Linked DNA regions of Arabidopsis thaliana. The protein of the gene in region 1 interacts with the protein of each later gene in a pairwise test. Each region holds a gene or a part of one and is shown in the gene's direction. Other genes may lie near its edges.

Region 1 (4,426 bases):
TGCGCAGATTATGGGGGAACCCTGATGAGGTTTTTCCTCACTCTTTTGATATGACATCTTTCATATGTGATCAATGAACATTAGCTTCAATTTTATTTTCTCTGTTTCCTCAGGATTTAGTGAAACAACCGAGATATCTAGCAACATTTACAGTGGGTTATAATCAGAGACACAATATAGATGCGTGTGTTAGCAAGGTTGATTGATATAACACTTTTTGTTTTCTGTTTTTGCTTAATAGTAAACTCATTATGTTTTGTCTACTCAAATACAGTTTTCAGAGAACTTTACTATTGTTCTGTTTCATTATGATGGCGTAACAAGTGCATGGAATGATGAGTTTGAGTGGTCGAGGAATGCAATACACATAAGTGTCAAAAAGCAGACAAAATGGTATCAATATCTTTGCTTTAACCACTTTTTTTTATCTGGTTTCTTGACTCTCTCATATTGTGAACATAAGGTGGTATGCAAAGAGATTCTTGCACCCGGACATTGTAGCACGATACGATTATATATTCATATGGGATGAGGATCTTGGAGTTGATCACTTTAATGCAGAAGAGTGAGTTTCTCTTACTCTTCTCACTTCCATTTAAAAATTTCTAACTATGTTTGTTGTTGTAGATACATACACATAGTGAAGAAGCACGACCTTGAGATTTCGCAGCCTGGTTTGGACCCAGAGACTGGGTTTAATTGGCAGATCACCAAAAGAAGAGAACATAGTGAAGTCCACAAGTATATATAACGGCCTCTCTAGATTATTTTTGTTACATTACAAAATGGTTCTGAATATGGCTTGAACCTTAGCAGGGAGACAGATGAGAAACTCGACTGGTGCTCTAATCCTCCCCGGCCTCCATGTGCTGCGTATGTTTCAAAAAACGTCTCTATCAAACTCAAGTTTCAGACATATTTAAACCATTAGTAACTTCGTTATGTCTTTAATAAAAAAACAGATTCGTGGAGATAATGGCTCCTGTATTCTCAAGAGATGCATGGCGCTGCGTGTGGCATATGATCCAGGTTACACTTACTTTATTATCTATTGGCTCCTTCATATCTTCATATAATGTCTCCTTCTTGCACCTAATTGTATATGAACCAAAAACAGAATGATTTGGTTCACGGTTGGGGTCTTGACTTTGCACTGAGAAGATGTGTTGAGGTACACAAAAGTTCACTATGTTGTTGCTTAGTGTTTGTACAAATGTTCTTGCATGTTTGATCAATTAATGAAGAGGCTTTCATTTTTATATGTGAAAATGAAGGAGCCTGCATTTGAGAAGATAGGAATAGTAGACTCACAGTGGATCGTTCATCAATTTATCCCTTCCCTTGGCAACCAGGTTACTTAACTTCTTCACTTTCTCCTTTCCAAAACCAATTAAAATTTCTCATTCTTTCTCCTTTTCTTGCCAATAGGGGAAAGCAGATAACGGGAAAGCACCATGGCAAGGGGTAAGCAAAACTTGTTTTTGTCTCAATACAAATTTTCCTCTTGTTTTGGAGAGCTTTCATGTGTTCTCTTCCCTATAACAAAACCTAGGGCTATCTTAGATTTTCTAGATACCTTGACAAGAAAGCAACCAAATGGACCAATCTGTCTTAAACTTTTGTGTGTTGCAGGTGAGGGATAGATGTCAAATGGAATGGAAAATGTTCGAGAACAGAGTGGAAGCCGCGGAAAAGGATTATTTCAGATCGTTACAAGTTGAAAGCCCATCCAATTCAACAACTTCTCATTAGTACCTTACCAATACTAGTTGTAGCCAGGATATTTTAAGGTGCTATATAACATTTACATATAGATCTTATAGGTTATAGAGATACCAATCTCTTTGATCCGCACAACGATCAGATTCCATTGAATAATAGAAACAGGACTGTGAATGATTTTAATCACAAAAAGATTGTGAGGAGCTGAAACAGAACAGGTGTGTGAACTTTGACAAAGATTTGTCCAATTTTTCATGTGTCAGCATGTCTGGTCTAGTGACGTGGCATGCAACCGTGAAACGTTGAGTCTTCCACGTGTCGATCAAGAATCGACCTCGGGAGAACAAGGAGCTCTCCACAACGCACAACTTGGTTGGCTGATCACAATACGTGTCAGAAGTCTAACAACAAAACAGACCACAGAAAAAAAAAAAAAACAGAGTTTTTGTTTTATTTTAAATTTTCTGGTTATAAAAGACGAACCAACCTATTATTGAGTCACAATCAAATTGTGGGAGATGAGTCTCTAACGATAACCTCTCTCTTGGTGACACGTGTTTAGACCACCGCTGCTTAATAAACCCAATCGCCCACCGGAACATGAGTGGCGGCTATACTTCCTCTCTATTTCTTCTCTTCTAAGGATTTTTCGTGTCTCAAAACTTTCAAAGACTCTCAGTTTCTATCTCTGTGAATATAATCTTAGTTATAAAAAAATGGGTCTCTCGCATTTTCCAACAGCGTCAGAAGGAGTACTACCACTTCTGGTGATGAACACGGTTGTTTCAATCACTCTGTTGAAGAACATGGTGAGGTCTGTTTTTCAAATTGTTGCATCCGAGACTGAATCTTCCATGGAGATAGACGACGAGCCTGAAGATGATTTTGTTACTAGAAGAATCTCGATAACACAGTTCAAGTCTCTATGTGAGAACATAGAAGAGGAAGAAGAAGAGAAAGGTGTGGAGTGTTGTGTGTGCCTTTGTGGGTTTAAAGAGGAAGAGGAAGTGAGTGAGTTGGTTTCTTGCAAGCATTTCTTCCACAGAGCTTGTCTAGACAACTGGTTTGGTAATAACCACACCACATGCCCTCTTTGCAGGTCCATTCTCTAGTGGTGGAATCTTGTTTTACACTTTCCTTTTGTTTTGCTTTGCTATAGGAAAATACCACATTCTCTATCCTCTGTTTTACCCTTTTTGGTGTTTATGTTTTTCCCCTTCTTTTTTCTTGGTATGGAGAAGGGGTTTTTTCATAATAAAGGACTATACAATTGATGTGTGTGAATGTTTTCCCCATTTTTCTTGAGTTGAAAAAGGGGTTTGTTTTTCTTCTCTAATAATGGAAATGTCATATTTTCAACTCTTTAAGCTCTCTTTTATTTTAACATTTTAGAAAGAATTGTATTCTTATATCTTCCATTTTATCTCATGTATTCATGATTAGTGTGACAGTCTTGCATTTAAATGTGAAACTAAGACCATAACTTGTAGCATAATTAGTACAATTCCAATTCAAACCAGATTTTGCATGTTATCGGAAAAAACAATTATGTGGAACTAGAAGATCCAAGAGTTCATGAAATATACTAATTTGTAGTCTTTATTTCCATGCACCTTTCTAGACAAAGGAAACAGCACCCATTTTGTTACATAACAAAAATAAAAACCAGAAGAAGAAACACAAATCATACAATACAATCTATATATTATGGTTTGTCATTTATTACTTTTTATTCTTCGTCCACATAGACTAGGCGCTCTTAGTCATCCACTTACTGAACTTCGTATGCTCAAACTTGATGAATTGCTCAGCTTCTTTGTCAACATCCTCTGCTTTTGCAACCTCTCTAGTGCCCATATTCTCGCTCTTTGACCTCCTCATATCTGCATACTCGAAGCCCTGGATTGGTTCTTCGGCTGCAAAGACAGCTCGGAACTCCTTCATCGAGTCCCGGTGATGATGATTATGATGTTGATGGTGATGAGATTTGTGACTGGAGGAGTTTCCAAGTACCATTCTTAAACTAGCTCTTTCTTGTTTGGATCGGAGTGTTGTTTTATTAGGGATATTTTTGAAAACTATCGTAGGTATCTTTATATAATACTACATGTTATGAGGTTGTAGTCCACATGAAAGATGGGCGTGAATCTGATTCCCTGTTTTCTTTATGTCTTTTCCGAGCAAATATACTACTACTTCAGGTTTGGCCGATTTTAATATATTCTATGCACATGTCTAGAGATTTGGACTAATGATATAGGTAAGGATCTAATACGAAATATCGCGTGAGGGTGATTAGCTTTAACAAGAAGCAAGATTGATTGGTCGAAAACATTAACAACTTCGAATTCGTGAAGTGGGCCAACGGTTTATAATTTTCTGAGGTATATGCCCCAAGAGTACAAACGACAAATGTTAAATTTGGTAGTTACTGTTGGTTATTCGTCATAGCTTGATCGAATTAGATGCATTAATAATGATGTATGACATGTATCTAATGCGCAAGTTATAGTGGAGGAGAACGTAGGAAAAACGTGGTTCTCTTCGTCGGTCATCTAATAGATTTGTCTTTGTTGCTTGGTCAAAAAGTGATCATGCAGGTATGTGTCAACTAGGTTCACCTGGCCCGGACCGGCCCATATCATAGGTGAGAGATAAGCCCATGTATGAGAGTCTAAATTTAAAAGTACCCAACTTCAAATAC
Region 2 (4,324 bases), about 12 Mb from region 1:
ACTGGAAAACACAAAAACAGACGCCACGATGGATGAATGATTTCGCAAATCGTCGAGATTTTGGAATTCGATGAAGAGCGTATCAACCTGGGCTTTGTCTTTCTTCTCCGACGAACTTTCTCGGCGAGCTGTTTCCGATTGTTATTTATGGACCACCGCGATTTCGCTTCTCTTAATCCTTCTCCTTCATATCTTCTTTTCCACTAAATTTCGCTTCTTCACTTCTGCTCCTTCTTCTTCTTCTTCTTCTTCTTCTTCTTCCTCTCCCTCTACAGAATCAGTTCCCGCGAACTCTCAATCAAGGTAAAAAGGTTTCTCAATCAAATGTTTAATTACTCACTTTGGCTAATGAAAAAAACTAATCCTTTTTTGCTTAAAGTGCGTTTGATTTTTGAAATGTTTAAACTTTGAAGGATTCTACTTGAGTGGAATTGTCTTTAGGCTTTATGTGGATTGGTTTCATTGAGCTACCAGATTCCTCTTATACATTTTTTTGCAGGATATCCAAACTAGTCTCTGATGAAGATTTGAAATTTCTGATCGAGAATTTGGAGGAGGAAACAAATGATTCCACGGAGATATGGGAACATGTTATTCACAAAAGCAACGATCGCATTTCATACTCTGCTAAACGCTGCAAACCCAAAGTAGTAACTTACTTTCAAAAGTGTCTTTTTAGTCTTTTATTATTCTGATTACTGAGTATCCTTTTGGCTCTATTATTAGGATGGCGGTGGTCCTATGAAGTACCTAAGTGTCACGGTCTTCGAGGGTTTCTCTGCAGAGATTGTGAGGGACTTTTACATGGACAATGATTATAGGAAACTATGGGATAAGACTGTGGTTGAGCATGAGCAGTTGCAGGTTGATAGTAATACTGGAATTGAGATTGGTCGCACCATTAAAAAGTTTCCCTTGTTGACATCGAGAGAGTACGTTCTAGCTTGGAGATTGTGGCAAGGAAAGGAGAAGAAGTTCTACTGTTTCACAAAGGTCAAATTCAACCAAAAAACCTCTCTCTCCCTCTATCTGTCGCAATTTGTTGTTGCTTCTTTACTTATCATTTTGCTCTTTGGTTACTATTAGGAATGTGATCACAATATGGTACCACAACAGAGGAAGTATGTACGTGTAAGTTACTTTAGATCTGGTTGGCGAATCAGGCAAGGCAAGTGGATTCACCTAAAAGTTCTAGTCAGTGTTGTTTGAATACCATATAACCAGATATTGATTGATCATGGTGAACACGGTCCTTAGTTTCTTTTTTCAGTTTCTGTTGTCAGCATTCTTTCTACCTTTGATACTTATCTGACTGATACCTTTGACACACTTGCTGCAGTTCCCGGTAGAAATGCGTGTGAGATCAAAATGTTTCACCAGGAGAATGCTGGGTTAAATGTTGAGATGGCCAAGCTCGCCTTCTCAAAAGGCATATGGAGTTACGTTTGTAAGATGGAAAACGCTCTTTGTAAATACATAGCAACCAGTCATAGAACCCAAGGACCCATTCTATCTGCTGTCACCTTAATGAAAGAGGTGAGATTCATATGAAAATTCTGTTCTGTAAAATGGTATTTAGTGTCCTGAAAATATGCTTAAAGCAACCGGTTGGGTTGGGTCTTCACTGACATTGATTGTTGTATCTTCAGGTTCCATCAGAGTTAGAAACTGGGACAGATAATGTCACAGGCTCCATGGAAACAAGTAGTGGTGAAGGAGTGTTGAGTCATGTTGTAGCCGCCAAACAGAAGAAAAAAATGAGAAAGCCATCAACGAAACTGATAGCAAAAGGTCTAGTACTTGTGGGCGGTGCGATCTGCTTGTCCCGTGGTCCCTCAGCCTTAGGTGCTAAAGTCGCATTGGCTTACCTCTTGACGAAGCTGAACAAACGTGGAACTTCTCTGAATCAGACCACCCAGACCACCACCATTTAAGTAAATTTCTCCTGAACTCTGGTAGCTTTTGGTATCAAATTGTTGTACCACAGTAGTACTACCACTAGCGTATACAAAATGCAAGTCGGTGTTGATATGAATGTAAAAGCATACATTATAAACATACAAGCCTAAAGGTTATCATTCTTGTAATTGTATGTACTATGTAAGGTCTTTATCCCAATCAATCTTTACTTGATTCTTGAGTCACTACAAATTGTTCGATTGTAGTTGATATTGGGACAGATGAACATTAGTGACATTAAAGTTGAGACTAAAGAGAAAGCTTATGAGGTCTACTTTTAGCCCTTCTTTTTGGAAGTTGTAGCAACTATAGCTCAACCCTAGATGCTAAGCGGCGAGTGAAGAGTCCAACACCACAATAAATAGAAGACCTTTACTATGATATTATCTCATTACAAAACTGAAACGTTTTTTTATCTTGACAACAAAAGGAAAAAAAATGAAAAGAATAACAAAACTTTTGGCCTCCCACTCTCTCAAAAGTTTGATGGCCAAGAAAAACAAGCGTTCCCAACAGAAGAACAAGTGTCTCAAACCGGAGAAAGATCCATCGACGGTGAAGAGATTGTTGGAAGATCCGCCGAGGAAGAAAAGATATCTACAACCATTGGAAAATCCACCGACGGAATCTTATGGCGACGACGAGAAAATGGAGACTGAGGAAGAAGGAGAAAAATATCTTGGTAAGAATCTTCCGGCTTCTGCTTTTATCATCGTTGCTGCTGAAAGGCATGACTCCGATTCATATTCTGAAACCGAGCTGGAGAAGAAGATTTGCGGTTCCGTTGTTGTAGCCAAGATGAATGATGATAAGATGGTGTCAACAGATACCAAAAAGAAGTATTTTCAAAGAATATTGAGTGATGATGATAAGATCGTCTTGTTGCAAGGCATGGTTGATTTCCAGAATGATAAAGGGACGATTTCTTATGATGATATGACTGGTTTTATTGATACGGTGAAGAACATCATTAGCTTTCAAGCGAATAGTCGTCAATTCACTACCAAAATCCGTCGTTTGAAAGACAAGTTTGTACAGAAAAGGAACAAAGGTGTAGATGAGAACTCTCTAGCAAATGTTGAAATATATGAAATCTGAATACTTGTGGCTAAAGACAAGATTTTTGATGAGGTCAACTCGATGATCACTGGAGCAAATTAAACAAGTCTGAATTTAGAATTGTAATGCATCCTTTTTCATTTTCATCCCTTATGACTCTGTTTTTTCTATTTGGTTCTTTTTTTTTTGGTTTTTGATATTTGGATTTTGTTGCTAAAAACATTATGAAAGAACGGCAGATTAGATTTTAATGCATACAATTGTGTTTAAATTGTGGTCAAGGTTTATGGTATAAATTTGGTAAAAATACTCTCATTTTGGTTAGGCTCAATGAGTCATTTTGTTGCCAAGTTTAAAGATTACATGGTTCTTTCAAGCTGATTTCAACACTCATCAATGTCTAAGAGCATTGGCCTCAAAATCCGCAGAGCCAAGAAGAAGAAAAAGAAAAATCATAAAAACAGAGACCGTAGAGTGGCAGCGAAGAAGAATAAGAACAAAGATGCACCTCATGAAACCGATGCAAGTACAATTGACAAAGCTGCAACTAGTAACTTCACAAACCGGACATTATTCTTTGTTGCTGCTTGAATTTGTTCTACTAATTTGTTGTTTCTCCTTATTTGCAAGGTACATCCGACATGCATGAACATGATGATGATGGAACTGGTGACTACTCAAACCAGCTTTAACTCAATTTTTGGCTCTGCCACCACAAACAAAGATATGTAAGTAAAGCTAAAGCTGGGACAAACTCCTATTATCGGAAAATGGGTAGAAAAACCCCCACCTTTCCTCCAAACATATTAAAAACTCTCAACTTTTTTTTTTTAAACTCTCACCTATTATTAATAAACTAAACTTAAATTCAAACAAATCATTATATTAAAAACAGCAATAAAATTTCTTTTAATTTCTGATTTATTTTTTCAATTCGATTTGCAATTTCTAAGATTAAGGTTTTTGCTATATAAAATTACATTTACCATTTAATTAAGATTAGAAAAATCAGTTTTGTTACCACTAGAAGTTATGTTATGTAAACTACAAAAATTTATAGGATAACACATTTAATATTTTGGTTTGTTCGAGTTTTTTTAGGTTTTGATTTAATATATATTAACTTTTCACCTTACACACAATGCCGTCAGATCCAGCATTATACCTCCAGCTACTGAGAAATTAATGGTCTTTCGGACATCACCCTCTTAACGACCAATACAGAGTAATCTGCTCAATTGCGCCAAACCTAACGACAATGCCAGAGCATTGGGTCTTTGTCCCAAAACCTCATGAAGTAGGTTCA

Evidence for each region. Proteins that work in one complex are often made in the same cells at the same time.
Region 2: the proteins of AT1G24580 (region 1) and AT1G55950 interact in a two-hybrid assay, tested with the Arabidopsis thaliana proteins (one large-scale study listed by BioGRID).

Annotation. Positions count from the first base shown.
Region 1 is NC_003070.9:8,707,740-8,712,165, forward strand, and holds AT1G24580 (RING/U-box superfamily protein), read left to right. Parts: upstream 1-2,201; 5' UTR 2,202-2,438; coding exon 2,439-2,834; 3' UTR 2,835-3,085; downstream 3,086-4,426. Other genes in the region: AT1G24570 (transmembrane protein, putative (DUF707)), read left to right, coding at 1-29, 114-197, 275-393, 464-565, 628-741, 817-873, 963-1,029, 1,118-1,171 and 3 more; AT1G24575 (DEAD-box ATP-dependent RNA helicase-like protein), read right to left, coding at 3,472-3,738.
Region 2 is NC_003070.9:20,925,572-20,929,895, reverse strand, and holds AT1G55950 (DNA-binding storekeeper protein-related transcriptional regulator), read left to right. Parts: upstream 1-2,350; 5' UTR 2,351-2,397; coding exon 2,398-3,057; 3' UTR 3,058-3,179; downstream 3,180-4,324. Other genes in the region: AT1G55960 (Polyketide cyclase/dehydrase and lipid transport superfamily protein), read left to right, coding at 71-303, 500-647, 727-993, 1,087-1,168, 1,340-1,536, 1,650-1,934; AT1G55947 (F-box/associated interaction domain protein), read left to right, coding at 4,277-4,324.